Linked DNA regions of Macaca fascicularis. The protein of the gene in region 1 purifies or fractionates together with the protein of each later gene. This does not show direct contact. Links are inferred from orthologs where the notes say so. Each region holds a gene or a part of one and is shown on either strand. Other genes may lie near its edges. The genes, in order: FBXO7 and COPS6.

What was found.
Region 2: the proteins of FBXO7 (region 1) and COPS6 purify together in Homo sapiens (affinity purification with mass spectrometry; 4 studies listed by BioGRID and IntAct, counting the BioPlex papers as one, with this or other methods). This does not show direct contact. The link is inferred for Macaca fascicularis from reciprocal best matches to the Homo sapiens genes FBXO7 and COPS6.

Annotation. Positions count from the first base shown.
Region 1 is NC_088384.1:19,146,150-19,149,962, reverse strand, and holds part of FBXO7 (F-box only protein 7), read left to right. Parts: intron 1-1,393; coding exon 1,394-1,688; intron 1,689-3,813. UniProt on the Homo sapiens protein: Substrate recognition component of a SCF (SKP1-CUL1-F-box protein) E3 ubiquitin-protein ligase complex which mediates the ubiquitination and subsequent proteasomal degradation of target proteins and plays a role in several biological processes such as cell cycle, cell proliferation, or maintenance of chromosome stability.
Region 2 is NC_088377.1:48,741,727-48,746,160, reverse strand, and holds the start of COPS6 (COP9 signalosome complex subunit 6), read right to left. Parts: upstream 2,901-4,434; 5' UTR 2,888-2,900; coding exon 2,818-2,887; intron 2,595-2,817; coding exon 2,469-2,594; intron 2,271-2,468; coding exon 2,139-2,270; intron 1,492-2,138; coding exon 1,403-1,491; intron 1,300-1,402; coding exon 1,237-1,299; intron 984-1,236; coding exon 936-983; intron 848-935; coding exon 733-847; intron 648-732; coding exon 555-647; intron 454-554; coding exon 353-453; intron 223-352; coding exon 82-222; 3' UTR 1-81. UniProt on the Homo sapiens protein: Component of the COP9 signalosome complex (CSN), a complex involved in various cellular and developmental processes.

The DNA.
Region 1 (3,813 bases):
TCAGTAGAAGGGTGAATTTAGCTTGTCATCATCAGTAAGAGAGATGAATTTATACTCAGTCATATACATACACTCCCCTAACTTTTTGTGATTATGAATATATGGATCTGGTTTTTTGGGACCATTGTGAGTAAACTGTCCTGTAAGGATATTGAATAGACATCCTTGATTTCACACTCATCTTGATCTTTCCAACTAATGTTTGGTGGTTGCATTTATTTCACAAATACTTTATTTGCCAGTGTTGAAGATATGGTTTGAACTGTTCAGACATGATCCCTGATCTTATGAAACTGAAGTTCTAGTAGCAGGGGTAGGGTAGACAGATAATAGCTAAGTAGATAATGACGTTTCCAAGTAGAGCATAGCAGAATAGAGAGTGCTGGAGTCTGAATGAAAGGCATCTCTGAAGAGGTGACATTTGGGCTGAGACTGGAATGATGAGGAGGAGTCAGTCATTTGAAGATCTGGAAGAGCAAATGCAGAGGCCCGAAGGCTGCAATAAAGTTGATCTACTTTTTGGAACTGATGGAAAGCTCATGTGAATAGAGAACAGTGAGAGAGGACGGATGGCATAGGATGCAGTAGGAGAAATGGGAAGAGATCAAACGTTGAGCTTTGGAAGTTATGTTAAGGATTCCAAATAGAAGCTATTAGAAGATTTTAAGTGAAGGAATGATGTGATCTAATTTGTATTTTAAAGGTATTTCATTGAATCTTACATGCTGTCACTTGGAAGACACATTGTTTTATGTAACAGCAGGGGAAAAATGCTGTCAGTTGATATGTGATTGATTCTAGGAAGCATCTTAATTTCAAAGATGTCAAAATACAAAAAAGTACATCTTAGAATTGAGGAAAGCATGGATTAATGATAGAGAATTACTGTATCCTGTCCCCCAGGTGGAGAGTTTTGGCCATTAGAAATCTATAGATTAGGCATTCATTGATAAATAATTTTGATAATTTTCTCAAAACTTTAAGCTTGGTAGGGTCATCTGTGCCTATAGTCCTAGCTCCTCTGGAGGCTGAGGTGAGAGGATTGCTTGAGCCCAGGAATTTGAGGCTGCCATGAGCTGTGATTGTGCCACTGTGCCACTGCACTCCAGCCTGGGCAACAGAGTGAGACCCTGTCTCTAAAAAACAAACAAAAACAAAAATGTAACTGGACATGGTGGCTTATGCCTGTAATCCCAGCAACTCAGGAGGCTGAGGCAGGAGGCTTGCCTGAGGCCAGGAGCTTGAGACCAGCCTGGACAACATAGCGAGACCTTGTCTCTTCATGACTTAGTTCTTCTAGGGTCATACTGTGTGCTTATGTATGCTTCAGATGTGCTGTTGAAGGTAACAGAAGTAGGTAGCTCTTACTGTGCTTATCCATCTTTCTTGGCAGTTCTGATACCCGATTTACAATTACATTGAACTACAAGGATGCCCTCACTGGAGATGAAGAGACCTTGGCTTCCTATGGGATTGTTTCTGGGGACTTGATATGTTTGATTCTTCAAGATGACATTCCAGCGCCTAATTTACCTTCATCCACAGATTCAGAGCATTCTTCACTCCAGAATAATGACCAACCCTCTTTGGCCACCAGCTCCAATGAGACTAGCATACAGGATGAACAACCAAGTGATTCATTCCAAGGACAGGCAGCCCAGTCTGATGTTTGGAATGACGACAGTACGGTGGGTATTAAAGACCAATATATCAAATAGAGTAGGTGATAAGTCATATTGAACACCTCAGTTGAATTCTGTTCCAGTCAGGATAATTATCATCAATAGATTGCACATTATTTTTCATATATATATATATATATATATATATATTTTTTTTTTTTTTTTGAGACGGAGTCTTGCTCTGTCACCAGGCTGCAGTGCAGTGGCACAGTCTCGGCTCACTGCAACCTCTGCCTCCCAGTTGAAGCGATTCTCCTGCCTCAGCCTCCCAAGTAGCTGGGCGTAGAGGTGCACGCCACCACTCCCAGCTAGTTTTTGTATTTTTAGTAGAAACGAGGTTTCAGCATGTTGGTGTGGATGGTCTTGATCTCTTGACCTCGTGATCCTCCTGCCTCGACCTCCCAAAGTGCTGGGATTACAGGCATGAGCCACCGTGCCTGACTGCAGATTATATTTTTATAGAATATATTTTTTTAACTGCTAAATGCCTATACCAATATGGGGCTGGCATCCCAAAGTACCTAGTTTCTGCTTGTTTTGTTCACATACTGTCCTTCAGATGAATTATCCCTTGACTTCTATTACTGTTCCTAAGCTCATGATTCCTAGCCTTGCTTCTCTGATCTGGTCTGCTCATTAAGGCTATGGATGTGGTCCAATTATTTCCAAATGACTTGCAGGATATTTATACTTGCATTTTTAAATTGTCATTGCAGACTTTATATGTTCAACATAAATTTGGAAATATGTGTGCTCATGTTCCCTTCTTTGTCAGTGGCACTGCTGGTTTTCTGTGATTTTTGACTGCTTAAATCTAGCCCATTAATAAGCTTTGTCAGTTTTTCTTTTCCATTTCGGGTTCCAATGGCTTTATTCCTCAGTCTGTTTTCTGGGTTTGCCTTCTTCCTACATGGTTCTGATGCTGTTGTTCCCTTGCTGGCTTTCATTAACTCTTTCTCATAAACTTGTGCTCATAATTTTTTAGCTGAAAAATACCATGTATCTCTAGTTCATTGACCCTGTCATTTTACAGAAGAGGAAAATGACGTCTGTCCTCCTGTACCTGGTGCTCAAGGCTTTCTGGAAAGTTACTCCACTCAACTTTTTTAGGGGTAGTTTCTGTTCTTCCCTCCTTTAAACTGTCATCTCCAATCAGAACAGACCATCATTTCCCCCCGCCCCCACCAGCCAGCACATGCACCTGCTTGCATGCATCTGCATACACACAACCTGGTGACTGCTTTTGTGACTTTGATCTTACTGTTCACCCAGACTGGAACCTGTTACCTTTCCTCCCTCTCTTGTCTATATTTTCTACCCATCTTCCTAAGCCCTTGCCAACCATAGCCCAATAGTTTTCTTTAATTTCTTTGTATTGATTATCTGATTATCTTTATTGCCTTGTACATGCCTCATCATTTTTCCCACTTTTTTTTTTGTGTGACAGTGTACCACTCTCTCACCCAGGCTGGAGTATAGGGCATAATCTCAGCTCACTGCCACCTTACCCTTCTGGAGTCAAGTGATTCTCCCACCTCAGCCTCCCAAGTAGCTGGGACCACAGACACCACCATGCCTGGCTAATTTTTGTATTTTTGGTAGAGATGGGGTTTCACCATGTTGCTCAGGCTGGTCTTGAACTCCTGACCTCAAGTGACCCACCCACCTTGGCCACCCAAAGTAATGGGATTACAGACATGAGTCACCATGCCCAGCCTTTATCCGACCTTTTAATTGTTTGAATGGTGCAGATGATCACTTTTAGTTTTTTAATACCAATACACGTGCCATCTTGTTAATTGTTTTTTGTATGTACACTTATCACCTCAACTTAATTGCTGACCTTAAACATTTTTGGGTATAAGTATTCATGGTAACTTGTCATGGCATTAAGTATAGACATATTAAAAAATACTTTTTAATAGATTGGTAAGTTGTGAAAATTATATCCAGATATGTGGATTTTAGTTTATTTTTAAAATTATTGTTGTATCAGTGTGTTTCTGCCTCACAGAGGTAAACTGGGGAATGAGTAAGAATATTTTGCTGTATATTTAAATTATGTTTCTGAGTCTTTTTTGCTGATAGGCTTGTTCTGGGATAACTTAGTAGGGCCCATTACTTTTACTTC
Region 2 (4,434 bases), on another chromosome or scaffold:
CAGCGGTTTCTCTCAAGTGTAGCGCCCTCCCCTTTGGGACAGTTGCCTGACCCCTGTCCATCAGCCCTTCAAGTACCCTCCTCAGAAGAAGAGCCCGCGCATTCGCCTGCCGATGCCTTGTCGATCATAGAGGACGTTGAACTTGTTCACAAACTGGTTCATGGTGTTGCACGTTTTCGTGATGGTGCCGAGGTAGGCCATGAGCCCCACGTCGTTGCATTGCTGGGAGGGAACAGAAAGGACAAATTCCTCAGGGGATCCCTCGTGGCATGCCCAGGGAACAACAGTCCCCGGTCCTCCACGTGAAAGTGACAGCATGAGCCCCACCTCCCCATCCAGGTTTTAAACTCACATCATAAAAATCTGTCTTGAACTTGTCTGTGCTGAGCACCGGGAGGCAGTGACACAGAGCATAGGCCTCCCGCAGGATCTCATGATTAAAGGGGACCTCTCCTAAAGGCACAAAAAGAGGCTGCATTAGTTTGGATGCTGTCACTTCCCCAGGAGGGAGAGGAAGAATGCCAGGGAAGTGCCCAAGGAAGCCCCTGTCCTACCCGCTTCAGAGGCCTTGACGTACTCCAAGATGAGCTTGACGCGGCTGTGCAGCATCTTGATGGCGCTGTGCTGTGCTATCAGGTGTTCAGCCACTGCAAAGGGACGAGGACAGGAGGAGGTTGAGACGGGATGTGGCCACACCTTCCAACCCCACTTCCAAGTAATCCCCTCCATTACCAGTGGAGTTCTCTCCACTGCCTGTTGCTGTCATTCGGGCTACGTGGTCTACACCAATGCGTTCCGCTTCCTCTGTGGCCAGAGTGTAGGTCAGCTCAGCAAACAGCATTGTGGCCTACAAGGCAAGGTAACCCACAAAGGGAGAATCAAAAGCAGGAAAGAGGCCAAAAGCAGGATCTGAGGGTTCAAGGGTAGGGTATTACCTCTCCATTGATTATATCGATGACAGACTCAAAAACGCTGACAGGAAGCTGTGAAGGAGATGGAGAAACCTGAACACTATATGCCAACATTTGGACGAGCTGCTTTCACCCATTTCCTCTCATCTCATCTTCCCAAGAAACCAGTGAAGTAGGGATTACCTCCCTTCACAGTTTGGAGATGAAATGACTAAGACAGAGTTACAGCTGGTAAGTGGCACCTGGCATTCCCCAATAGAAGAGTATCACACAGTAAAAGGCAACAGTGACAATCACGACAGAGTAGGCATGGGGTATTACTCACATCTGTGTGCTTGGTCATAGGGTTCAACTTCAGAAAGAGGGGGCTCTCAATGATCTCACACACCTGGAAGAGAGGGACAATGCACAGAAGTCAGTGACCCCCACCTTTCTCCTTCCCCTCATTCTCCATTCTCTGCCCCAGCATGCACAGGTGTGAGCATGTATACCTGCTTATGGACGTGGATGTCCGAGGGGTCAGGTGGCCCCCCTGTGGTATACCAACCCAGAAACTCCAGCTCCTTGAACACCTGTTTAACTGGAGGGGAAAGGGCCAGAACACACAGTAATTCTTTTTTTTTTTTTTTTTTTTTTTTTGAGTCTTGCTCTGTTGCCTAGGCTAGAGTGCAGTGGCACGATCTTGGCTCACCACAACCTCTGCCTCCCAGGTTCAAGCAATTCTGCCTCAGCCTCCCGAGTAGCTGGGACTTCAGGCACGCACCACCATGCCAGGCTAATTTTTGTATTTTCAGTAGAGATGGGGTTTCACTATGTTTGCCAGGCTGGTCTGTAACTCCTGACCTCATGATCCACCCGCCTCGGCCTCCCAAAGTGCTGGGATTATAGGCCTGATTCACTGCGTCCGGCCTGACATAGTCCTTTAAACCATCCTTCCTCAATGTGAAACTCCTGGTGTATTTTCACCAGCTTCTCCTCCTTTCTCAAATCCTGGCTCAGTTTAGAATAATTACTCCCTTCTATCCTGTCTTCTCTCATCCTTTACTTTCTTTTTGAGAAAGAACTCTGAACGTGTTCTTTTTCTGAGATCTCTCCAGCTACTCTCTTCACTTTTTCTCCTCTGTTCTTGGCGTCCTCTCGGGTTTCTTTCCAACCCTCTCCATCTTCCCCACCTTGCACATTTTTTTTAACTCCCACTCCTCTTCCCCACATCTATTCCACTCTCACACTGCTCCTCCTTGGTGTAATAATATTCCTTGTCAATTATAATCTTCTCTTCCACGGTGTGGGACAGCAGCTCAAAGGAGTTCATCACCTCGATATTTCGGCCCTCCTGCTTGCCAATCAAAGCCCCAATCACTGGGAAAGAGAATGACATGGAAAAGGTAACGTTAAAGAGACTTCTATGACCTGAGGGTCTGAGATGAGTGGGAACCAAGTATTGGGGAAACGATGATTTGGGGGAGGGGAATTGGATCTAGTAAAGGAAGGGGAAAAGACCACTGTCTGGGGGAGGTGAGCAAGGAGAGGAGACTGGAGTCTATGCCCAACACTCACCCTGCACAGGCCGCCCCTCCTGGGAGCGCATGCGGATCCAGTGGTCGGAGATGTTGAGAATGACAAGGGGATGGAGAGCGACGGAAACACTCCCAGTCACTCCGGAGGCCATCACGCTGGGAACTACTAAGGGTGGAGGGAAAGAGAGAGGGTGAGAGTCCGGGCCCCACGTTCTTCCCTGAAGATAGCAGTGGGGGACGACGGAGCCCGGGCCACACTTTTCCTCCCGCAACTTATCCCAGAGAAAGATGTTGCTGCTCCGCCCTCCTCCCTTCTCCCGGGAGCACAGCAAGGCCTCAACGCACCCCTGAAGGAGGTCTCCGGAAGCCGCCCGCGCACGGCCCGTTACCTGCTGCATCCACCTCCATCCCGCTGCTCCCTCCGGTCCCGTTTGTAGCTGCACCCGCCGCCGCCGCCATTTTCCCCGCGCCCGCCAGCCTCGGCCCCGCCCCCTTCCTTCCCGGCTTCCGTAAGGCGAGCAGCGCATGTTCTGTGTCTCCGCGGCAAGCGGCGGGCCTGGCGTCCGGGGAGCAGGCAGTTCCCGGGTCGCGGCGGGCGGCACTCGGTGCGGGGAAGCCCGACGCCCTCTGGGCCTCGGTGCCTGCCGGTTTTCCCAGACCCTGTCCCCGCCTGTCGCCTGCGGGTGACCTTGGACAAATTAGTTAACGATTTGATTGATCGTCCTCGTCTGTAAAATTGGGATAAGAACTCCTAGTTCTTAAGGCTGTTGCAGAATGAATGACATGTCGTGTTATTTCCCTCACAATAAAATCCAGACAACTAACCACAGCCTGCAAGGCCCTGCCTGATCTGGCCCCGGTCTGGCCTCTACTTTTCTAGCCCTTGATCTTCAGGCTACAGCTGCACTGGCCCTCATGTCTGGTGGTGGTGGTTTGTTTTGTTTTGTTTGAGACAGGGTCTCGCTCTGTCGCCCAGGCTGAAGTGCAGTGGCCTGATATCAGCTGACTGCACCCTCAAACTCTCAGGCTCAAGTGATCCTCCCATTTCAGCCTCCCGAGTAGCTGGGATTACAGGTGCACCCCACCACACCCAGCTAATTTTATTATTATTTTTTTATTTTGATAGAGACAGGAGTCTCACTAGGTTGTCCAGGCTGGTCTCCAACTCCCTGACAGAAGCGATCCTCCATCCTTGGCCTCCCAAAGCACTGGGATTACAGGCATGAGCCACCACACCCAGCTCTCCGTGTCTGCTTTCCACATGCCTCACTCTCGCATTCAGGAGCCTGTGTTTCCTTCTCTTGTTCATCGTGGTATCCCCTGTGACCAACACGGTACCTAACACATTGGTGCCTAGATACTTTTTGAGTGAATGAAGGAATAATTTGGGATGGAATCTGGTGTTGAGTTGCTCCATCTTGTGAAAGTTGCAGATACCAGGACAAAAATCACATTGTCAAGTCCAAACAAATTGGAGTCATGAGAACACCAAGCAGAAGGGCTCATGCTTGCATGTCTGATATAGGGACTGTCTCAAGGACTTTCGAAAATAACCCCACAAGGCCAGGCATGGTGGCTCACACCTGTAATCCAAGCACTTTGGGAGGCCGAGGCTGGCCAATCACTTGAGGTCAGGAGTTTGAGACCAGCCTGGCCAACATGGTGAAACCCTGTCTCTACTGAAAATACAAAAATTAGCCGGACGTGGTGGCATGTGCCTGTAGTCCCAGCTACTCGGGAGACTGAGGCAGAAGAATTGATTGAACCTGGGAGGGAGAGGCTGCAGTGAGCTGAGATCGCACCACTGCACTCCAGCCTGGGCGAGACAGAGTGAGACTCCGTCTCAAAAATAAATAAATAAATAAATAAATAAATAAATAAATAAATAAATAAAATAACTCCACAAGGCCAGGCATGGTGACTCACACCTGTAATCCCAGCACGTTGGGAGGCCAAGGTGGGAGGATCACTTGAACCCAGGAGTTTGAGACCGGCCTTGGCAACAT